Drosophila melanogaster: one gene and its partner. Changing the gene in region 2 together with the main gene of any one other region gives a genetic interaction. Each region holds a gene or a part of one and is shown on either strand. Other genes may lie near its edges.

Region 1 (12,835 bases), on a different chromosome or scaffold from region 2:
CAAGCGAAACAACAACAGTTAGCTTCCATTTGTATTTTTCTCTCTCATTAGCCTCTCTTCGCCATTTCCTCTGCCTCTCCGTTTTCTACGTACCTCATCGATTGATGCTAAAAACTATGAATAAAATATAGGTTAGGCCTTTTCCTTATTTGTAAAAAGCCAACGAGCGTTGAACTCGTCTTGTAGCGTGGGAGTTTTGCTTTCGGAACAACGAAACTATTTTGTTTTGATTTTATCTCAGCGAATTATAATGAAATTTATGCACCGGTGTAACCGCGTGGAGATAAAAGAAAAAGGGAAGCAACGAAACGAAAAGAAAAGAAAAAACAGCAAATGTGAAAAACAAAACAAGCGACTAAAGCGATGGGCCAATTATAAAAACAACAACTATGCGACTCTGTACTTTAAGTAAAAGCCGGCATGCGTGCGAGCAAGCGAGAGAGGCAGAGAGAACAGGGCGGCAGAGCGAGAGAGAGCTAGGAATATTTCTGTGTGCCCTGGTGGTTGTAATAAAATGAAAGGAAGAAAAACTGTAAAACTCAAGCGCCGAAGCCAAAAGAACGATTTTGGGGGTGTAGTTAAAAATCACACTATATTGCTATAAAAAATCGGCATGTATTGGCGAATCTTTTTCTTAGAAATGTATTCAGGAAAACACAAGACCACACAACACACACACACATTGCTTTTAGCCTGGTTTATTTGCCTCGCAAATTCGCTTTTCATTCGCGTTTCCCCAGGCAAAAGATAAAAAAAAACTGTAGAAGAAAAACTCACCTATCGGGATGCCTTTGTTTTCCTTCAGCTACGAAGACTTTGATGCCACCGAACTTAATCACTTAACTTTCAATTGGTATTCAACACGATTTTGTCCGCCACTAAACACTGGCTGGTAAAATATTATTCAAAATATGTATAGCACAAACACACTAGAGCTGAGTTAAAATGCACAAAAGTTAGAGAGGAATTGGAAAATGGCGTATCACCCTGTCATCGATACCTGGACTATCGATATATGATGGTTGAAAACGGTGGTTTAACACTTATTCTTAAAAATACTGTTCGGTGGTATTTATTCATTTTGTTTGACATTGTAATGTAAAAGGCACATATTCTCACCATACCGCTGAATGAAATATATTTATATTTTCAACATCACTTATGTTACAAGGGACTTATGAGTAATAAGAGCTAGTGGAAATACCTCAAAAAAAAACCAATAACAGGGTTGTCACCATACTCTATAATTTCTATCGGCCTGGTGTTTTGCAGAAACTTGCAACTGGTCACACCAATGTGGCATTGTTTTGTTTTGTTTACAATTTGAATTTACTAACAAATTATTTCAATGGAGGATTCGGAAGCCGCATTTAAACGCCACGAGGGTGTGGGACCAAAGGTGAAACAGGCCTACGAGGAAGCCATTAAACAAATCTTTGCCGACTTGAGGTAAGCAGCAGGCATAGTTAACATGATAACGAATATTAAAAATCGTTAATATCTAGCTGCGCAGATCTGCAAGCGTGGGATGCCATTTACCAGGAGCACGAGCAATCCGCTCTGGACACCGAAAGCATCGTAGATCGCACTCGCAGTCTGATGACCAAGGTTGTGCTCGAAATGAACCGATGCTTTTTCGCCAGCAACGATGTGCCAAATAAGTTGCAAACTTTGGAAATGCTCAAGGAACATTTCGCTGCCTACGAGGGCAAGAAATGGTACATGTGCAGCATAAAACATAATACGATTCGATTGCATTGCTAACTCTACTCTACTCTATTGTAATCTATAGGAACGTGAACACTGCAGCACCCGATAAACTCACTCGGCCGCTGCGCATGCGATTTTTGGACTTCAGCGTGGAATTCATGGAGCAGCAACTGGCCTCTCAGGCAAAAGAACTTGAGGTGCGATTTGGATATTAGTTAATCTTTGTACTATTACTGCACTGTTTTGAGTGTACCAAAAGATCCCTAAAGTTAAAGAACCTTCGAGAAGATTTTTAGTTTAATAATTTCATTTCTATAGTTTATCATTTGCATATACATATGTACATATCTAGGTTTGTTATTCTATCAGTATAACTAACATTTGTTTATATTTCAATTACAGATTGCTATGGCCAAGAGCAATGCCAATCGCGAGCGACTCCAACATGTCCATGACAAGCGCCTGAAATTGACTGTCCAAATGGAGCAGCAATTGTCGCAGTACGAGAAAGTTAAGACAGAACTTATTAAACTAGGCGAAGCATTGAACGACTTCTGACAAACTTAAATGCAATAAATAAATAAAATACTACGCTATGAGCTTAATGATTTGAGTGGGGGGTCTTAAAATGGAAATTCATACAAACTAATCTGCATATTCATTAATGTACATACATATGTATGTACACATGCATTTGTCATTGACATTCACAATTTATTTAAATTCGTATCATTGCAATAAGCTCATAATATTAACGAGCAATTGTTTGTATTGGCGACAAAAAATCTTTTAAAATTGAATGTATATACATACATTTCAAGTTATCTCTATAAAGAATACGATAAATAGTACGAAGTTTTTAGCTAAACATGTGTAAACTTATGTATGTATGCATGTGTTTTTTGAGTGATTTCTTAGAATCGCTGTGTGCTTACACACTCCCATACATACATACTTGATTGCGTAGTATAAATCAAAGGAATGGTATTAGTGTAAAAAAGAACCGAATTTTTGCTAGATCTTCCTCAAAAAGTAACTAATAATATACATTTAAAGATGTTTTTTAAAAGATTCGTTTTAATTTCCCTTGTGAGACTGCACTCATTATACAGATTTTCAGTTATATTTTAAGGCAATAAGGACATTGACTCTTTAAAGTGAGGTTATGTGATGTGTGTATTATTGAAATTGAGCGCTTTCGCACACACAAAGAAACACACTTATTGCATATGTGAGTTTGAGTGCGGCCCATTCCCACTTGATTTCAAAGGTCATCTTCTAGCACTGTCACAAAGATTTCGAGTTCAATGGAATTCAGCAGTCCGTTCTTTTCGATTTGACCGTCGACGGAGAAGGAGCTTACATCTCTTGGTAAGCCATTTAAAATGTTGACAAATCTAGACATGATTTTCCCAAGTGCCTGGTATCAGCAAAGTGTTATTTTTTATGTTTATGTAAAGTACACGTTTCTGGTACTAAGTACTTCGAGAAAGTTACCTGCGTAGGATATCAAAACTATCACTGCAGTTTCAGGCTTTTCCCAACTACACCTATTAATACATATTTTAACGTCCTATTAAAGTTGTAGTTTGGAAAGTTTTGGTTTTGCATTAGAAATCGCCACTCAACTTGGTTTTTTCTAAAATTATTTAGGTCCGTTTTGCATATTTTAGGTGTTTTACAAAATCTGTGTAACATACTTAATATATTTTTAGAAAACTAACACCTAAGTGTACGGAATCAAAAAAAAAAAGACAAATATGTGATATTTAAGCAAATTTGCCATAATCTCAAAATAGGAAAAAGTCTGTTATGCTTATATTTGAGTGTTTTAAAAAATTAGAAAACCCAATTTTAATTATTTTTAGAAAAGACAAAATGTGATATTTATGCTTGTTTTTGTTTGTTTTACAAAATTGGCATAACCGTCTTTTACCTATTTTTAGAAAACTAACACCGAAGTGTACAAATTCAAAATGTGATATTTTTTTCACATTTGCCATAATCTCCTTAAAATAGTAAAGGCTGTTATGCTTATTTTTGTGTTTTTTACAAAACTGGCATTCCCGTCTTACTTATTTTCAGAAAACTTACACCAAAGTGCACAGATTGAAAAAAAAAACACAAAAATGTGATATTTCATCACTCATCAACTCAAAATAGTAAATCGAAGGGCAAAAAAATATGGTATTCTGTTTGCTATTATAAAAGTTCACGAGCTAAGCTAACGATTCATTAAAATATGTACATACATATTTAAGTGTTAAAAAAAAATGTGTATCTCGCGAATTCCTTCGATTTCCTCGCGTTGCCGCCATTTTGAATATTCTCTCTCCCGAAAGTTGTAGAGTAGAGCAAAAACTTTGGATGTTTTGAGAGTTCGAAGTTCATACTGTCATCCCGCTCTAAACCTCTGCATTCCATTGTGTCCCGTTTTGTGATTTTTCCTTTTCGGGATCTTCTTTGCGTTCTTTGCCCCCGGCATTCAAATTCCGAGAGTCGTCGCGAGTGGTCGTTTGAAACGTATTACCCGACATCGTTCTAGCCAACAATTTTCTGCTGCGGATGGGGGCAGTACTGTTTTTTTAACATTGAGTATTGCACTTTTCACAGCCCGAAAATGTTAGCAACTGCCTTATACTAACAATTAGCATTTTTAAATTATTAGAAATGTGAATTAAGTTTGAAGCGATTTGGTTCGTCACAAGGGCAATTCTGCATTTTTTAACTAGTATTGCACTTGAGACGGCCTGATTACTTTAAAACGAATCATTTTATGAGCAAAGTAATTAGTTTTGTTGTGTTTTTAAACTCCTTGCAATAGGCGGCAAGACGGTGAAAAATCGAAATTTCTAGATCATTTTTCGGACGGTATATGGGTTAATATTTCATTTGTCGAATATATTGCACATTCACCGGCCTGAAAATATCAAGAATTAACATCGAAAAGTGAAAAAAAAGTGTTTGCGAAAACATAAACATTTGCAGGGCGGGTCGTGTGTCAGTGTATTTATATCTTAGCTATATTGCACACTTCCCGGCCTTTAAATGTCCAATGTTTCAACATTTAAATCTGTGAAATCGTAAAATTATAAAAATCCAGTTGCGCTTTTCTCGGAAATCCGCAATCCGTTAGGTGTGAGCGAGATGACAGCTGTTGCGGTTCTTCCCCATTCCTCTTTCGCTTCGTCACAGACTTGCCAGATCGGCAAATTGTGTGCAAAGAGGAACGGGGAACTTGGTTAATTTCTTTTGCAAGTGGCAAGTGTTTAATTATTACAATTTGTGCTTAACTTAATATTGGCCGATGCTTGAGCTAAATATTCCCGTACAACTGGTGCAACAAAGTAATAATAAGGCATTTTGAGTTGAATTTAGCAAATTAAATTAGTGCGCTCGGCTGGTTGCCTTTATTTTGCACGTCATTTACCGTTTTTCAAGAGGGCCAGTAGTGTATGGCCAGTAAGTATGCACAAATAAATGTTTCTAATCCGTTTAATGATGGGATGGCCATTGGTTTGGAAAACTAACAAGTAGGAGAATCATGAATAATGCCCAAGCACGCGCGAAATCAAGAGGTGTGAAATTGGGTTCACGGGCTGCGCCTTGGGCTCTGGAAAATGCAGTAGATGACCAGCTGAAGAACGGTTTTAGTTTTGGCGGAAGTGTAAGTGTACCGTTAGTACATATAGCGAAATATATAGGGAAAATATCCATAACAGCTGCTGCATTTAGCTCATTTTAAACTATTACTTCCCTGTTCTCATCTGTGGCCGTTGAGAACGAACCGGCAGTTCGTGCTGACAGCGAGCGCAATTACATAAATGTTTGTTTTGACAACAATAGCGAGTGCAACAAAAACAACAACAGCAAACGCAACAAAAAAGCCGGAGACGAGATTGCATAATTGCTTGTAAGATTTTGCTCCCACAATTTCTCAGTTTTTGTCATGGGACAAAAAAAAAAATTATACAAACTTACCGGCTGATTGTTATCTCCGGCAGAGAGCGGAAAAGAGCGGTAGTGAGAGCGATCCTTTTACCGTATTTTACAGCCTCTCGGTTAAGCTAACTTGCTAAAGTCGCTCTCTTTTTCGCCGTGCGACAGAGATGCTCCGTGCGAGAGAGCGACTTACAGTGGGTCATTTTAATTGTGCTCTGCTTATCTAAATGTATTCAAGTATATCCATAAATTGTAATGTAGCACTTTCGTAATTGCCGGCTTTATTTATGCACTGTGAACAGCCAGGGGCTAGATGGCGCCTTAGCATTTTTCCCCACTGTCCACGCTCTAATGCCTAAGAGCGTTGGTTCACTAGCTAGTTTATAGCTAACTTTTGAAAACTCCGTTTGTTAAATAATTATTCAACACTATCTTATTCAAAATTCTTAAAATATTTTCTAAGGATTTTTTTTTTTACCAATGAAAGCATAATATAATAAAAATGCATATAGATTTATGTTGCAATAATTCGGATAAAACGGCACACTTATCTTCTTATATACATACGTACTTATTACATTTCTTTTGGGTAATTAACCAATTGGTTAACATTGAGTGCTTTCACTATAGTTTTGCACTCTCTGCCATATAAGAACGACTTCTGCTCTGAAACTGAGTCAGCATCTCTATACGCCGGCTCTCGATTCCCGAGGTAATGAAGTTGCAGCCGAGCTGAGCCTCAGTTGCCTGGCGACTAGCGAACAGCTTGGACGTGTGGTGTGCTCTTCGGTGTGGTTTCGAGTCTCGAGTTCCGAGTTTTCCCCATATTGCAGCCGTCAAGTAAGACCCGCTCCGAGTTTTGTGTGAATTTGTGTGATATGTGTGTGGTTCGCGGCTCGTTTCGTTTTTTATTTGCCGTTGTCATTGGTTTTTGATTTGTTGAGCGGTCGCCGCAAGCCACTTGACGGGCATTCTCTTCTGGCTTTGTTTCATAATAACTCGCTGTGTGTGTTTGCGATGCGGTACATATATATGTTATGGTACCTACATATATGAATTGTGTCTGTGAAAACGTCAAAAAGGCCAGGCCAAGAATACAAATAACAAATAAAATGTTGGCCCGCTTGTGGAGCATGTGCCGTTGCTTCGGCTTCGGTTCGTTCGAAATGCTTGTAATAATATGCCGTTTGTCTTTCCGTTTCTACCCCGACCAATTAGATCCGGAAATTTTGGAAAATGCTGCTCTCAATGCAAATGTGGCGCTCTCTGTGGCTGGCGGCCCTATTCTGCGGATTAGCCCAGGCCAAAGGTAAGCACTTTTTCTATCTATATACTATACGCAAAAATTTAAATATAAATATCAGAGTTAAGATCGGGGAGTGCAAGGCTAAAAAGCTTGAGAAGCTCCCATAGCGCTGCCATGATGTCATTCGCGTAATGAAACACAATAAGTATTTATTTTTTCTTTTCGATTTTGTTGAAAAACCGACAAAGTGACCTCGTTTTTGGTCGTGAAGTGCACATACACACACAATTTGTGGCCATTTGGAGTGATGGTCGAATAAAACGATCTTCGGTTTTGTCGGGGGCGTGCTGGAGCTTTTTTTTTGGTAAAAAAACGAATGACTGAGGCAACGAACTTGCGGCGACTTAATGAAGTTTGGCAGCGCGGCCCTGTCATGATTCACTCACTCGTTCTTACGCTTCCTGCCATATATTAATGCTAAATTGTATAAGGCATATATCCCTCGAAAGCCCTAACACATTAGTCATTAACTTGCCTGCCCCTGCAAGTTGCCTTTAACAGCCAAGACAACAAACGACTAAACAAACTATCAAGCGAGCGCGGCGAAAAAACAAAAGACCAAACAAGACACCTACACAAACACAAGTGCTGGGAAGGCAACATGACACGCCAAAACAAAAAAAAATAAGATATTACAAAGAAATAAAAAACAAAGCACAGTCCAGCCAACAAGATAATATCGACGAGAAAAATACTTAAACAAAGCGAAAAAAAGGGGCAGTACTCATAATAAAGCCCACACTCAACTGGTCAAGAATCGGCTGGGGTTGTCTTATTAAAAGGCAATCAGAAAGGAGAATTAACTGCAAAAAAATATTACGCGAGAAAAAATGAAGAATTAAAGGCGAAATACAGCCAAAACGGGCGACAATCGACGACTTGTGTAGGCGAACTGGTCCCGGGAATTAAGATGCAGCCTAAAAATACATAAGGCCGATACGAAAACATCTCTCTCGCGGGCTACAAACAAACAAATAAATATATATATATGTACATATATAGAAACGGTGCAGACGAGGCTGTAATTTACGGACAAACCAAGCGAGACCGAGAGTCCGAGTTTCAGCTCCTCAGCGTTCTTCGGCAGCCAAAGCTGAAAGCTAAATTATAACTTGCCAACTTGCACAGCAGTGGCGCTGGATGATAAGGGGTAAGCGGTTTTAGTGGGCGCTGCTGAGTGGGCGTGGCTGTCTTAACTAAAGCGAAACTTTTGTTTGTCTGCACTAGGGAAAGTAAAAGTCTGACTCAGACCCAAAAAAAAAAATACATAGTGTGTTCCATTGTCTTTTTTGAGCTGAGATTTGAATTGTTAGCAACAATAGTAAGCAATTAGTGGTATTCATTGAAAGTGGTTTATTTAATATATAAATACTAAAAGAATATTAATTTATATTCATATTTAAAATATCTAAGATACTTGGTGTGATGCAGTCTGGGCTTCACAAAAAAGATAGATGGATTCAGTCAGAAGTGATTACAGATATTTGCTTGATCTCACATGATTTTCTTGACCTCTATAGTTTCGAGCAACTGCCACCGAATGATGTCATCACTGGAGTGGAGAACTTCGCACTCGAGTGCACATACTGATGAAACCGAGGTACTGACCTTCCCGGCGATTAGCCAACCGGGCAGTCATCCTCCAATCATCATATACCACCCTCTATGGGGTAGCTGACAAATCATCGAACTGCGATTAACTCGCTTAATTGCTGACTGCCTGACTGGATTAGGGGTATATACAATAAAAAAGCACACGCGACCTTGTGCAGCCGACACATTAAGTCGAAGATCGCTTAATTTATGGCCAGAACGAACATATGAACTGGCCATATAAATATAATAAATTGTTTACCCGGCAGGCTGCAGGTCCCCCAAACCCGCCTTTGCCATTTAAATAACATGCGAGACAGGACAGACAGCCAGCCATTCGATCGAGCATTGTCGCATTAAGACAAAACATTGACATTGCATTGTGGGCAGGCGGAGGAGTCCAGTATGTGTACTGTGCGGAGGAACAATAATGATCAGCGGATCTGTGACAGCCGGCCTAAAAGGACAACCACAGAAACGCTCGTAATAATAAAGAAATTGCCAAAGAGCTAAGAGTCGGGACTCCATGTCTATGGATGACCATGTCCAGGCTGCGCCACATTATGCCAGCGGGCGCACGGGCACGGAGAGTTAAGGCTGGAGTCCATTGGATGACCACGACGACCACGTTGCTGATGATGATGATGAAGCTGATGCCACACAAGGCAAATAAACCGCTTCGACTTGGTCTTCGACTTTGGCCGAAGATGTGGCTTTGGCCCGGTCTCCTGACTTGACTTCGCTTTACATTTTTGCCTTATGTGTGCGAAAAATGCCAATTTTAGAGCAAGTCCAGCTCCCCAATGTCTGTGTCTTGTGCTCCAGCGTCTTGTGTCTTGAGTGCGGTGTGCTGTGTGTCTTGGCCCGGCCAACAACAACTGTGTGTGTGTGAAAAATTGCCCGTCTAGACAAGCGCAACAGGCCATAACAGCAGCAGTGCATTGGCAAGAACAAGAACAATCAAAGCCTTTTGCTAAGCTAATAAAATCGAGCCTCGATGCTTCGGCTGTAGACTCGTGTCTGCTACATTGATGCTCCTGAACCTGAACCGCAATCTGAATCTAAGTCTGAGTCTGAGTCCCACCAACCTGTCCTGTCCCTCAGCCACACCGAACACTCTTTAACCCATTAATGGCACCCAGTGTGCCTGTTGACCCAGTGAAATTTCGACCACAAGTTTATCTAATCCGGCTGGCTTTAAATGGGAAGCTCTATATAAAGATTAATGATCTATGGCGATCAAATAGTGAAGTTGACCAAAGAGGTCAGCAGTTTTTAGGAGGCAAGTCTTGGATCCAAACAAAATCAATAATGAAACTTCAAGAGATTATTAATCTTCTTCACTATTACCACATTTATCATCACTACATCTACTACACTTCTAAACTTATGTTGCACTTTTGACCAACTCAATTACAACACTTGTGAGCAATTCGCTTACTTAATAGCAAATTCCAGCAAGGTTACGAGGGGTTAAGGTCGTCGGCTTTGAAACAATGCCTCCATGCATTGCCTGTTTCGGCTTAGTTGGAAAAGAAAGAAAAGAAAAAACCCGAACCCGGCCTAAACTGTGGGGCAAACGTGGCCAAGATGAAGCAGAGGATCTGGGTAAGACCTTCGCGGCAATGGGCAGATTAAAAGCTGGCGATAACAAAACGAGCAAATCGAATAGAGGCGGCTCGCTTTAAGGGCTCCGCCAAGAGTCCAGGATCAAACTGGGAGCAGCCCATTGAAGTTGGTTAGTTGGCCTGGCCAACAAGTACGCGGAGCGCCCTTTATTCTTTACTTTGTTGCTGTTCTTGTTTCTGTTTTTGTTTTTGGATAGCAGACCAGGCCGCCCAGGCATTTGTCATCAAGTGCTGGCCATCTCTTTGTTCGCCGGCGCATTTTATTGAATAATAATCGGATTGTCGGGGCGATGAGACAAAGACAACTTCACTTGCATTGGCTGGGGGATTGGGATTGGGCTTGGGATTGTTTCAGGATTGAGGCTTTTCTGTTTTTTGTTTGTTTTTGTAGTTTCTGTTGTTTTTGGCATTAATTAGCTTAGTTGGTTGTTGCAGTGCACCGTTATGCACTGACCATTTTGGCAACATGTGGCAACAGCAGTAACGCAAAATCTGACAAAATCCAACTGCTGGAGGGAGTCGGCCTAAAAGGCTTTCAACTTTTGCTGCCGTTTCGGCCACCGTTTTGGCCACAATCAATTCGCGCAACGCTCCCCAAAGGCAATATATCCAATCGGTGGCGACTCCGCAACACATGTGTGTGGCGTGTGGCGCGAATTGCGTAAAGTGGAGAAGGGGAGGCGGCGGCGGTATGGTATTGGTATGGTGCAACCGATAACTGTATATGTACTCGACCACTAACGGGTTCGGCACTCCTCCGGCTAACCGCTCGCAGCACATAAGGCATGCGTATTACACAAGACTAATTGTATTAGGCCAAGATGCAGCAACTGCAGCAGCAGTGGCTATGGCCACATAAAACCGAGCGAAACAACTGCAACTGCTGCAAATTTGCATGTTTTGCATGTGGACATGACTGCTAAGAAGGCGAAACTGAATAATTTTATGGGAACTCTAGACAAAGGCCTGCGGCATGTGACTGAAATCAAGGCACTCCAAAGCGAGGTTCAATACTACATACATATATATACGAGAACTGTATCGACGATTCACAGTGCCAAACACACTTTCTGGCATTTTAACGTCTGCTTCGCATACTAAAATTAAATAAAGCGCCAACAAATAGACAGTTTAACTCGGGAATTTTACGAACCTATAAAGCGTAAGGTTCTGTATATCTAAAATTAAAATTAAATTGTGTTGAGCTCATTTAATTTGACTTGCCTTAAACTCATTTCCAATGGTCTTTTCTCATGCATATTTATATACACATTCGTTTTTTTTTTATTTCAATCCAATCAAGCATTTAAATTTTAATGGTTACTTACCATTACTACAATACAAAGTTGGGAGCCAGCTTTGCCATCAAAGTTGATTACCTAATGTACTGACGCATTTATGTCCGTGTCTGAATAATTATTATTTTTAATGAACGAACGACTATCGTTTGTATTAGCAACAAGTTTTTTATCTGTTTATCCGCTCATCAAATTGATATTTTCGCGTCTAGGTAATAAAGTTTTAATTCATTGACACTGGGTATGCCGTGCGTTATAACTTTTGCGAAACAGGTCTCGGCCAATATAAAAATAGCCACTTTCGACATGAGATCTCCGATCAACTACTTATCTTTTGGCCGCTCTTCAATCTGCCAACCACTTTCGCAAAACGCTCCAGAGCAAAAGCACCTGATGCCACAGCCAACAGTGGCATGCCAAAGATTCCAGCACTCCGGTCATTAATTTCCGCTCCCATTTCTCACCAAAAAGTGCGCAAAAAAGTTGAAAAAAAAACGGAGACAGAGACGCTTTTGCAGAAATTGTCAAGCGTCTCAGGCCCAAAGGCATGGCCAAACATATTTATGAGGCCTGATAAGCCGCCAGCAGATGGAGCAGATGCCTCCGATCTCGGCCTCACTTGTGGTTTATGCGTGTGAAAGCCGCCCGGGGGGACAAGATGGAATCTAGAGCAAATATTATGTAAATTTTTAGCTGCCCGGGGGGCAAAATCCGGAGCAGTACTGGTGCTGGTGGTGATAGTAGTTGTAGTAGTAGTGATAGGCGATTGGGGGACTGCAAAGAAAGCAAACCTGTAGCTAATCCTGGTGGGCAGCCCGCTTACCGTTAGAGCCAAGTTGGAGTCACCAAGCGGCTCGTTGGGTTTTTAATTACCGAATGCGAAATGCAAAATGCAAACTGCAAAACTGCGTAGAGAGCGTTTCAAACGCAGCCGACAGGCCGGTCTAACGGAGCCGCATCTTGAGAAGCGCCAGAACAGGATCAGCTCCACATGGAAATTAATATGGCTGAAAGGAGAAAACATGGCTAGAATGAAGGAATAGACGAAACCGAGGCCAAGTGCGTAACGTAAGCTAAGCTGGCTAGCCCCTCGGGCGCTCGCAAAGAGTTATGGCTTGCCACAATTGCATAATTTATGCGAAATTTATTTAATCTATTAGACGCTCTGACCCGCAACAACGGGGAGCGTTCTCCCCTCTCGCTCGCATGATAAATTGCATGTGTCTAACTGCATGTGGCAAATTTATCATATTTATTTGTTCTCTCCAACTCTGCACTGCAGCATTTCTTTGTTAATACCCTGGCTGCAGTCCGGTCACTTTAAGATTGATCACCCAAAGTTCTTGGGTTATATTCGC
Region 2 (13,056 bases):
TCATTTAGCGTAATACGCATTTGGCTCTGCGGTTGTTTTTCCCCATTCGAGTTGTCTTTGTTATTATGGTCGATGTGCGTGGAAAATTTTCGCACCCGAAATTGGTATTGGAATTGGAACTTGGATCCACTTTCTCGGATGCCTCGTGCCACTGATTTGAGCATAGTAATAGACAAAGGAAGACAAAGTGATGGATATGGGTCGGAAACAAGGAGGATGCGTTGGCCAAAGAGTAAGTTTTCAAGTTCATAAATAGATGGATGTGAACTCAGTCGGCAGAAAATTATTATTAGCCTCGATAAAGCAAAGTCTCTAGCCAATAAGGGCGACTGGTTACGAGGAGCAGATTGGCATCCTTAAGTTTCTAAACAAATCCTTAGACCGCTGGATATTTTTACTGATTTAGAGCGAACAGAAATTTAGGCACAATTTCAGCAAATGCGCATAAAATCGATAAGGCCAAATGAGTTATTCAATAAATTTGAGAAAATGGCATTTTCCTCATTGAGAGGAGAGATTTTCCAACAGTTTTGTGCCCCTCGCCGCGTTTGAACAATAGCGGATAAGTATCAGAAATGCAACACAAATGGGGTAAACATATTGTTATATGCGCCGATTACTTAATGGCTTGTTCGCGGCAATGGCAATGCGGTAAACAAAGATTTTGCAGCAAGACTTGCTCATTAGGAAATCAATAAATGTTACAAAAATAGCAGCCAGCTCTTTGGCTACGAATTATAAATTAGAATTGTAATTACAAGTGCAATACAAAAGGAATCTAAAAAGGTAAATGCGCCACAGGCAGCCGCTTGATGATGCAAAAATCGCTCATACTGATGCTATAGCTCGATAGTGCCACTCGGTTTTATAAATTATTTTTTTTTTACGATTGATTTCAGAACTGCCAAGAACTGGAAATGGTTTTTGGCTGTCCAATTAATTTTGATCTTAATTGATTAAAAGTGAGGAATAATCTATCGCTTAGCCGGCGCTTATCAAAATGACATCTTGTCAGCACTTTTGACAGGCTCAAGACTGCCACACTTGTGCACCAGGCGTTTCTGGAGAAGATTTGATCTTCTGAGCACCAAATATAGCAGCCGGCTCTTTGGTTACGAATTGTAAATTAGAAGTGCAATCACAAGTGCAATACAAAAGTTATCTAAAATGGGAAAATCGACTTGATGATGCAAACATCGCTCATACGCCGTGTTGAACGTCGAAAGACTTCGATGGCATAGCTCGATAGTGCCATTTGGTTTGACAAATTACTTTTTTTTTGAGAGGTTCGATTTTAAAACTGCCAAGAACTGGAAATGGTTTTTGGGTGTCCGATTAATATTGAGTGGGTGTGTTCTGTCAGCTTAATTGATTGAAAGTGAGGAATAATCCATGGCTTGGCCGACGTTTATCAAAATGACGTCTTGTCAGCACTTTTGACAGGTTCAAGACTCGCGCACTTGTGCAACCGACCGTTCTGGAGGGGATTCGATCCCCCGGCCACCCTCCCTATGACAAGAAAGGGACGTCGATGGCAACAGCCACATCTGCATGCCGCGACTGTCAATCTTAATGACACGACACACTTGTTCTGCACTATCGCCACCCTCTGCTCATCCACATCCCCATCCATCCTGCGACACATATGTTATGGTGTTGACGATAGACGCCACATGATGAGCTGTTTACTCACGCTTGGAAGGTTCCGCGGGTCCTGCTCCCCGCTCCTTGAAACTGTGGCCCATGCCAGATGCATGGCTGCATCTTGTTGACAATTAATTTGGCTTTAGCGCTGTTATCGATATCGCCTTGCGCATTATAAGCCATGGATGGATACAGAAAAATCCACTTAGGAATCGAATAAAGCGCGCTCGTGTTGATTTTCTCTATTCCCGCGGAGAAAAGTTGAGGAAAGGCAAAAAAAAAAAACAAATTTTCTTCGAGGTTCTGATCTCCTTGAATTCTCCTGTAAACTCGTATAACATTATGTACTATTATTATTATTCTTCGGCAGGGATTGTAATTTAAAGACGTTGAATTTAGTCTGTTTATATCGAAGTGGGAACTATTTCATGAGTCTGGTAGTCTTTTATTTGAAGCAAAACCAGTTTTGAGAATAATACTTTCGTATATTCATGAAAACCAAACATAGAGCCAACATAATTTTTGTGAATTATTTAGATGATTTTAGCAAAACCCTTTAGATGAGAATTGCTATCTTGTAATTCGAATTCCCCTAATCAGCCGTATCTCTCTTGTAATGCATTTTCGGCGATATCTGGCATACGCCCTGCTGGCCACGCGAAGTGAATTAATTGAACAATACAGAAACTGTATTGGGGAGACGCATCAAGTTTATTACTCCGGCGATAAACATAAAGAGCGTAACACTGGAAGCGATTATACTCATAGGTCTCCTCCGCCCCTTTAATTCCACCTAAGCGATAAGCCAAGATGGACTGAGGGCTGTAGGTGGTATGTGGGGTGTGTGGTAGGTGGTTGAAGGTGGGAAGGTCTGCTTGAGAAAGTGGGCGGCCTCGGGAGATGTGTGCTGCCAGCTTATCTAGAGTGGCCACAAAGTCATCGCGATAGCAGCGCCCAAATCTGTTGGCACAATACATCAATGGCTGGGATGCCCGGAAGACGTCATGGAAAACTCGCAATTTGCACCTCGGAAATGTGAGAATTGCTCAAGTAAATAAATCAGGCAACGTATTAATGAATTTCAGATATTCAGATATAGAAATATTGTGCACGCATATATGTAGATGGGCATATTATTGGGGCTTTTGTAGGCCAAAGTACGAGCAGAAAACGTTTCGATTTCTGGCTGGATCCATATTTTTTGTTTTGGTTCTGGTTCGCTTCATGCTAGCCAAGGTATTTTTGCTGTGGTTTGTTTATTTGCCGGGTACTTGAAATGTTTTCAGAACTGAGTAGACTACGACTGAAGTGCGCTGCAAGGATTATGCCATGGCGAACAGAAAGCAGATCCCCGAGTATGACACTGTGTAGCAGATTGAGATACTCCACGATTACGGACGCCACTTTGGCCTATCACTAATCCCGACAGCCAACTTATGGCATCATTTATGACCTTTCGACCACTTAAAGTGCGTTCCATGCCGCTTGGATGTCCGATTGTTGGGCAAGGTCGAATGTTCAGCGTCACTAGGCCATCAAACGGCTAGCCGATAAGGATGAAGCACTAAAACTAAAAGTTGTAATATGGTATCTGATAGTATCACGTTCGTTTTATCGAACTCATAGTTTTAAATAACTTGAGCTCATTTCACTGCACGTTAGCCGTTTGATTTGATTCTGTACCCATTTTATGTGCACTATATTTGAATGCTATGTAAATCCACTGTACAATCCCCGTTTGCCGTTCACTGATTATGCAAACTGCTGGGCACTCGGACCCGCTTACGTCATGGACTCCGATTGGGGGGCTTCAGAACTCACCTGGTCGACCGCCTCTCCTTGAAGTTCGCCGATAGAAGGACGCTTGAGGTTGCGCATGGAAATGCGGTAGTTGTCCAGGCGCGGCAGACTCTCCCTGCAATCAAATGGAAGAGAAGGTATCCGATTAGAGCAAGTCACTTTCTAGTGCCAAGGCTAGTATCCCTACTGGTGGAACGGAAGCAGCACTATCACCGCCTCGGGCAGCATGACCGTCGCCTGCAGCGTTCCGAGCAGAAATACCCACTCCGGCGGATTCCAAGTGTAAGAAGCAAGTTATTTCTGTGTGTACGCATTAATAATAAGACAATAAAATCGGCCAGCCGAGTGGTAAAGGTAGCCGGGCAGAAGGTCAGGGGCTCCGCGCCGAAATCGAGAAAAATCAAGTTTTATCGGAAAATTCTTCTGTTCGGGAAGAGAGAGTCTGCCCTGATGTATATTTACTGATCGCCAACGAAAACAGAAGCAAAAGCAACAACATTACCAGCAGCTAAAGCCAAAGCAATGCCAAAATATAATTTAAAATCTTAAAAAGGAAAAACAGAATGAGGAAGGCAATAATCGACGAGCACAGTGCGGCGCCACGAGCGTCCAGAGGCGTCGATTCCAATGAATCCAAAGGGGTAAGACGCACGGTGCACGGGGCATGGTGCATGGTGCATGAATGACAGTCCATTGAAACTAAAAGTATGGCGTTCAACGAAACGATCGCCTTACTCATTACTCTGACTAATTCCAAAAATATTGCAATTAAAATTTTCACGAGGAAAGTGCACTGAAATATGTGGGCTTACTGTTGAAAAGACCATGGTACACTTCATTTTATCTAGAATAATGCCTCTGTTTGAAGTGACATATTGTAATCGGTAAATTTGCTGATTACCCACTAACCCAGTTCATCAAGACGTCTTGATGCCTTGAAAATCCTGATTAAGATGGAAAGTCTGAATATTCTCTAGAGATACACTAGCACCTCTGATAAATTACAATAAAGTGTAATCCTCACTTTCTTATTCTATGTATTCGATCCCCATTGCTTTTAGATCGCCGCTCGGCTTGTGAATAACTTATGAGTGTTTATTAATTGTAGACAGAATCTGTGGAGGGCGTTTTTCATTGTGCTACTAAATAAATTGCAAGCATTCAGCAAAGAGAATCGGACGTCTTGTGGCTTTTCCTTCGATTCCATTTCCATTTTCACTTCCAATTCATTTGCCAGACGACGGAGATACAGATACATTCGGCTAAGATACACATACATTCCTCACGACTATGTTTATGTACTATAGCATGTAAATATTCTCTAGATGCTCGTTCATGACGTATATGGGGGTCCAGTCCAGGCCATCGAGGGGCATTGATTGCTGGCCGGTTTCGTTGGGAATCAGCTGGTCCGAGTTAGTTCAACACAATTGGAGCCGGGCAGAGTTCGATCAATTGAACTCATTTGCGATCGCACTCTCCGAACGACAGTCGTAAATTTATTTGTTGACACGCTCATCCTTTTGGAGAAAGCCATCTGAGCTGCGAGCTCCGGAACTCGCGGAATGCAAGTGATCGCTAGCTCCGATGGCGATCCTTGTGCCAAAAACGGCTAATATACCCGACGTGCTCAGAATTTAGATAAGTTATTATATTATTTTTTGGCGGGCTGATGATGTAACTTGCTTGCCGTGTGCAAATTTTCCGGGAAAACAAATCATTGGCTGTCATTCTTAATCCGGAGGTCTCCCAATTTTCGGACAGATCTTTGGCAGCTTTTTATTGCATTTAATTTGAGCACGAGATTGCGTATTATCGAAAGTGGAACAATTGCAGCAATTAATTCGGGGGCTTTCGACGGGGTCTGGGTCGAAATCGTTAATTTGGGCCAACAGCCAACTGTCATGTGGCAAATTTGAATAATCAGAAGTGGAAAAAATTCGAATTAATCCAGAAGCAAGTTAATTTGGAAGTGATCTGTGACCTTTTTTTGAAAGTGCTTCATGTCGGAATGTTCGTCATGTACTTGAAATCATTCACATGAACTGTATGTTTTCAAACGGGTATTTATATTTGCCATTCCTATTTAATCACACAATTAGCTTTTAATAGCAAGTGAAACATATTAGGTGAACCTACCCTAATATTCTACAATCATGTATTTATATATACTAGTATAAACTGAGATTGAACCAAGTGAAAGTGGAGTGCATCAATCGGACATTAAGTGCATCCAACTTCGGACAATGTTGCTCTTGTTGAGCCTTTCGTTCTGTCATTATTTTGGGTTTATGTGCCAAACGTGATTACAATAAATTGGCATAATGTAACCTTCGTTTCGGTTATGCAAACGGAATGTTTTCGTTTCGCTTTTCATTCACATATCACACAATTTTGACGTGTTTTATTGTCTGTTTTAAGGCCCAGTACAATGGCATTTATTTATTGTGCACTGCAAACAGACTGAGTTTAAACATGTGTTCGCACCTCAATTGAAACTCATTACGGAGAGTAAAATTAATGATTAATTTGCTTTGGGAAAACTCTAATTAATTGTTGTATTATTCCTAAATTGTTTCAGACGCGAGTGTAGACACCACGTGCGCACTAATGGATGGAAATAATGTATCTCAAGCTCCTAAAAGGTATCAGCTGAATCGCAACACTTTTATCTTGAGAGTAAATCCCCTCAATCGAAGCAATTATCAAAAATCCAACAACTTGTAAAATCGGATGTTGAAAATGAAAATTTATTTTCAACACGCTAACCGCTGAGAAAACAGAAGAGATTGTGTCTTTTATATTTTCTCTTAATTTACATCTTAAACAAAACTTCCATCAGATGTCGACTATAAGATCAAAGCGTAAAAATGTTTTTTTAATTCAAGTTCTATTATTATTTTAGGTAAAAACACGAAGATGAGAACCTGTAAGTAAAATATAATGTGAAATACAAATTAATTGAGCTACAAAATTCCCCAAAATATGAATAGTTGTAAAACCATTGCATACTATGACATAGGGTTTCCATTCCTTTAGCGAAAAATCCTAACTGGATAAATCGTTGATAATATCAATATTCAAATTCAAAAACAATATTATTAACGACGAGAGTCCAACCGAAGAATATATATATATATATATTTTCCGATAACTTCAATTAACAACAAAATACCATTGATTAGAAACGACGTTCCGGTTTTTCCACCTGTGCCGACACATTTTTAAAGCAAATCGCTCGCATTTTAGCCGGGAATGCGTTAAATTCAAATTAAACTTACTTTGTTAGCTGGGCGAGACTAAACTTGCGCTCGGCGTCCGATTTGCGCAGGAAGTTACCGAATCCGCGGAAGGAGAGCCGGGAGCTGCGGCGGTTCTCGCCCGTCTCCCCCGAAGCCTTGGGATGCAGGTGGTTTTCGTTGCTGGTGGGCGGAAGTGGGTGGGCTGCGTCCGTCTGGTCGGATTCAGCTGATCTAGCCTCGCCATCGTAGCCGGCGTTCGCGGTGCCGTTCACCTTTGAGATCTGGAAGCGATCGGCCATGGTGTGGCTCTGGGGAGTCCTGCACTTGGTTGCTCAGTGGACCCTGGACACAGATTCTTATCGATTGCACGGGCACCTTGACGCTAGCTAACGAGCCGAGCACATTTGCATTTCACACACTTGGCAGGATGAGAGCGCCCCACTGGGAGTGGATGATATCACAAGGAGCGCGAATCGAAGGACCGAGTTTACACGTCCGACTGCGCTTGACCCTCAACGACGATTGTCCGGATATTCAGAACGCATCGACCACGTCGGCTTGTTTTGGGTGTTTCGGGTTCGGTTTCGGATTTGAATTCGGGTTCGTTTTTATATATGTTTCTGAATCTCACGGGAAACACTCCGATGATTTCTCCGTGGCGGCTGGGCAATTGCAACTTATCGCGCCGACTGTCGCACGGCGTTTGAGCGTTGTCAAGTGTTTACCGCCCGATTATTATGGCTTTTTGCGCCAGTCAGCTGCTCCTCTGCTTCCGCTGTGCTGTGGATTTGGCAGCGGCTGCTTCAGTTCGAACCAACTTGGCGCCCGCGTGGTGAGTTTCCAACAAGTGTTCGGGGCGAACTCACCACAAGAGCGCTCTCTGTGCGGAGCGACGAGGAAAGCAGCGCGATTCGGGAAAGAACCGTTGGCCAGGAGGTCCGACGGCGGGATACCCGCTCTTTAGAGGGTCTAGCGGGCGTATACGTAATGTTGCAACGCATACACAGAAAGTAGTTCGAGGTGCAGAGTACAGGGGAAAGAAAAATTCTTTGTTATGATAGTTAATTGGTTAATTTTACGTAAAGAATTTTATAATATGAAAATACTATGCGTTCTGTTCAAAGTTCCTTAAAATTTTAATCTTCATTTTAGAGCTTACACAAAATATTCATGGTAAAATTTTGAAACTTTAGAAATTTTAACCAACTAATACTTATCGGATTATTACAACATTTTTTCGTTCTGGAAAAGGACTTTACACTGAGAATATTTTTTGTTTATTTTGGGTAAAAAACAAAACAAATTTTATAGAAATATTTTATATTTATTTTTCATAAATATTTCAAACCTTAACAACTTTTCAAATTTATAAGCGTACTTGATAAGTAGTAGAATCAAAGATTTTGCTCTATATTAACATTTTTGTTGTCGACAACGCAAACGAGATTAGCGAATCCAATCTTATTATTATCGTTCCATTTCAGATGACTGTCATTTAGCCACACAGTTTAAACGCAGAGATGATTGTGTGTTGATATTCAATCAAACTGACATTTTATATATTTTGTTTTTCCCCAAATATTAAAGTTGTTATTGTTTATCTTTGTTTCGTTTTATTCAAAGGCAAAAAGGCCTTAACAAATAAAACTAAAATATGCATATTTCCCACTCATTCATATTCGTTTAACTTCTGTTGAATAAAACGTGATGTGCTCTGTGGGTCACAGCTGAAGACGAACCTAAACTAGCGTCGAAGGAGCTGCGTTTCTGTGGTCCTAAATAAAAACATTATCACTTGCTACAACACCATTTTGTCGCTTTGATTCGGGTAAGAGTTTAGCACCTTGGCACCTTGGTTCGTGGATACGATTCGTTTGCGATTGCGGCAATTAGCTCGTTTCGTTTGTTTACCGAATTCATTCCATACTCGCGACTCTCCACACTCATTCACAATCGTTCGCGCACTAAAACTTAGACACTCGTAACATCTTTACTATCAGCCAAGTCAAGTTAAGTTAAGCCCGACAGCAACCACAATAAGGGGGCAAGAGCACGCGAATAACCCCCTTAATCGAATTAAATTCGGTTTTATCTGGTTTGATTGGCCGGCTGCTTGGCTGGATGGTTGGATAGCTGGTTGACTGGTTGGTTGGTGGGACTGCTTTTTGCTTTTTGCTCTGCGTCACCGAGGGGGATTTCACGAAGAGCCGATCGTGGCGAAAAGAGTTATTTTTACCAAACCCAGTGAAGGTTCCCTCCCCCGAACCATCCCCCAAAGTCGGAGGAACGACGTTCTTTTGTTCCCTCCAGTGCTAAATCTCATTCTTGGAGTTTTCACTTTGGTTCATGAATGACATTTTGCAAATTTTGGATAGATGGCCAATCGAACTTTCAAAGTAATATATCAAAATATCAATAATAAACAAAATTATTAAATTGAATATTAATTATATCATATTTACAGCTGGCCGGTTTCGGTAATTCGGAACATCTAATCGTCTAAATTATACGCCCAATTTCGCGACTCATTGTTTTTCAATTCTACTGGTTAACCCCAAAGTGTTAAACATTTTTGAATAAATTATTTCAAACTTTAACACGGTATAAACTAACACTTTGATCATCACAATAGCTAAGCACAAGCTAATTAGTTGATTACCCTTTATGGCTGCTTTGATATCACTTTTATTTTTGCTAATATTACGCAAGTGATTTACGATTTCCTAATTATCAAAATTTGTTTATTACTTTGTCAGCCATCACAGCCGCAATTCGTTGAATATATTTTTCAGCGAAACTGATTTTTATTCCTTTGGGATACATTTTTCACACGTCTTCCAAATTCGATTGCCCCGTTTATAAAAGTTTATTATTCGTATCGATGTTACTTTGCGGTAGAGAATTTGTTTACCGATGCCAATGATATAAATTAATTTCTTTTTATTGCTTGCACTTTACTTGTTGTCGCATAAAAATGCTGCTGATTGTATGCGAAGATTCTGGAACAAATAAAAAAATATTAAAAACATCCGATTAATCGGCAAATATCTTGGAATCACACGATCGTCAAAGTCATAGTTTATTTTTACAGTCATATAAGCAAGATGTTTATCTAACAATCTCTCAAAATCTATCCTGTAAACTTTTCCTTCTATTTGGGGGATCTTGCTGGAATGAGATTTTATTTGTTTATATTTACGGATATAAAACTGTAATTGGCTATTAGTCTTGTGTTTTTACATCCGTTACTCGTAGGTTAACAGGGTATGCTGTATTTATCAAATCTATTTTTCTTGTCCATATGCACCAAGGAATGCCTAGAATATAAAGAAATTTAAATTTTTTTAATATATAGCTATCAAACTATGTTTAACTAGAGAACTTTCTACTTTTCTACTTTCTACTAAAACTTCGTTTATGCCATGAGGTTTGAGGATTTCTTCAATGTATAAAATAAAATTATATCCCTGTTTATGCGACACAGTCAAAATTTATTTCAGTGATGGCTAGAAAAAGGTACTATTAGATAGGATTAGTACTCTTCATGATACCAATTTCGTGAAATTTCATCGCATAAGCCCAGATTATAATTGTTTAATGGAAGTGTTAAGTCGTGTGCGAATGAAAAGCTTTTAGGGAATATTTAAAATAAACTTATACTGCGGTGTCACTAGAACTTGTGTGCTCTTTTTTTTTTTTTTTACTTCATCAGACCATGACGCTTACACGGACAGTCGACGGACGGAAAGACATGCTTTTAAAGAAATTTATATGCCTTTTCTCTATAAGTAACAGGTAAAAATATGATATGAAAATTTGTATAAAGGGTACTGGATAGTCGAAACACTCTGCTGCAGCGCTATTGCTGTGCTGGCAAACAAAAGGGCCAATTAAACGCAAATTGCCATCAAATTCTTTTCGTCGTTTAGTAACTATGGCTTGGGTAACTATTGTTTGTTTTTTAATTCAATTTTCGAACGAAAATATTATTATTGTCGCTTTCTTCACTGCGTACGTATATTTGTACATATGTTCTATCATACTCAGAATTTTTTAGTGAAAATTTACTTTTAGACTATGGTCATGTGTGACATCTACCCTTAACCAGTTACAAGCGGCTTTGGTTAACCCTCAACTGCACTCATTAACACCTCGCCAGTTCGCTTGTATTTGGACTACGGACGAATTCTGTCTAATTGATCGAACACACATCGCGAAGCACAGATAAATTGATTGTTTTACAGCTAAAATTAAATATTTAAGACTTGACAAGCGTGTTGTATAACAATATTGCGCTGCTAATTAATTCCAACCTAATGGGGGCCATACATATAACCGATTACATCGGAAGGCGATAACGTCTCTTGGGCTCTTATTAAGGGGAAGACACAAGACAAGACGACCATGCGCTATCGCAATGGCCAGAGACATTATTTGACACTCGATTAATAATTGAATTAACTGCTTTATACCACTTTGAAAAGGTTTCGCTCGGACCGAATGAAGGAAGTTTCGATCAGAGCGGCAATAATCTAGATTTGATCGCAAGTTACCGGGTTTTCAAATACCTGTCCTTGGCGTCAATTGGTTTAGATCGCCTTACACTGCCAAACTTAACGGTTTGATAAACCGACTCGTGTTGCGGTGTTAAGTGTGCTGATCATTAGATATTATACATATATCAGTCTACATAATGTCACCATTTATCTGAACCAAATTCTAGTTGGGATCAAAGAATTTATGTGCTTTTTTATTTAAATATTGCCTATTTATTGCGGCATTGCGCGTTTAAAGTAGTGACGAAGCGCACGCTGACATAGAAATTATTATTAGTCGAATTATTGGTTTTTCCTGAAGTGTACAGTTCCGTATAAAATACGGAAATATATATAAATGATAATATGATGGTTAGATAGAATAAAGCTGAATAAAATTATGATCGTGAACTCACTTCCAATTCAAAAATTGAGCTGGTATACAAGTCTACCGAAAATATAAATTAAGGGCTGTCATTCGCGACAAATGTTTTTTGTTACAGATGTATTTCCAGGCTGTTAACCGGTCACTACTCCTCGGAGCCCCCATTTAATGTAGTGCATAACTGCAGTTATGGCGTCGATTTGGGGGTTTCTCTCGATCTCCCGATCCCTGGAGCGTGGTCATCATCACCACTTATTCGACTCCGTCAAGGCAAGGCAATTTTAAGAGGCAGAACCGAACCGCTTCGTGGCAGTAACAACTTGTTCTGCGCCAGCCAGTCTCATTGTATCCCACAGTTCGTCTGGAGTCCCGGCGATCGAGCCAAGTTTTTGCAATCGGGTGCCGCCTTAAGTGCGACAATTGATGATAGATACACAGAAAGATACTTAGATACACATCCGATCTCGGATGGCAAGTCATGTGCAATCAAAATTTCAGTTGTGATAATTGCAATAATTTATTCATTAAGCTCGATATTAGGCAAGATTCCATTGGTGGAGCGGCATCAATTTATCATTTCGTAAGGCGGTCACTTTCCAAAATGCCAGGAAGAAGCTGCCCCAAATTCTCTTTGTTCGTTTATCCGCTCTTGAATGCAGGTAAATAAAATCCTGCGAAAAAGGGTCATCTCCATAATGAAACTCGGCGTGATTACTAAATTATTCAAGCTGGCATCTTAAAAGTCAATATTTATACTGATTGTATGGCCTGAATTGTGCTGAATTGTGGGGTACTTCATATACATATATGTATGTAAGTAAAGGCATCAGGGGTCATTAAATATCCATTAAAACGATTATTAATCAAAGTAATAAAATAAACTTTAACTAACTTACAAAACTATTTAATAGTGCCTTTCAAGTCCGTAAGAGTTATTAGGCTATTTAAACATCTTACTCTTACTTACATCAAATGGAAAGTCTTTTAGTTTGGTAATCACAAGTAGAGTAGACTTTATTCACGATCGTGAACGTAGGAATTTTGCAAATACGAAGAATATGGCCAAAAAACCGAATAGAACCAGTAAAATTGGGTTTCGCTCGGAACTGGTTTGCTTACATCCACGTGGTTTGGAAACAAGATTATTAATTTATAATATCTTTATCAGTTAATCATTGTAAAAAAAGCTGATGAATTGAATGAAGACATTTAAACATGATATTAGGCTTCATGTGAAGTAGATAAAATTTCATAACGGATAATACTGTCATTTCCAAGATAAAATGGTTAATTGAAAAGGCGATCTTGCCAATTGAAAGCTATCTTATCAGCCAATTAGGTCTTACATTTAGTGTGTGTTTACCTGGTAATCACACGGCCCAAAAAACTTATAAACGATTTACGGAGTGTTATTGTGTGCACTTCGTAAACTTTTCTACACCCACAAAAA

Evidence for each region.
Region 1: of NKCC (region 2) and qsm, changing one suppresses a phenotype caused by changing the other (phenotypic suppression), as found in Drosophila melanogaster (one study listed by BioGRID).

The regions. Positions count from the first base shown.
Region 1 is NT_033778.4:20,575,687-20,588,521, reverse strand, and holds the start of qsm (quasimodo), read left to right. Parts: upstream 1-4,930; 5' UTR 4,931-5,172; intron 5,173-6,389; exon of another isoform or gene 6,390-6,492; intron 6,493-6,870; 5' UTR 6,871-6,888; coding exon 6,889-6,961; intron 6,962-12,835. Other genes in the region: Nnf1a, read left to right, coding at 1,349-1,449, 1,506-1,718, 1,793-1,907, 2,113-2,268.
Region 2 is NT_033777.3:5,495,312-5,508,367, forward strand, and holds the start of NKCC (sodium potassium chloride cotransporter), read right to left. Parts: upstream 7,392-13,056; 5' UTR 6,986-7,391; coding exon 6,726-6,985; intron 3,704-6,725; exon of another isoform or gene 3,673-3,703; coding exon of another isoform or gene 3,632-3,672; intron 3,560-3,631; coding exon 3,466-3,559; intron 1-3,465.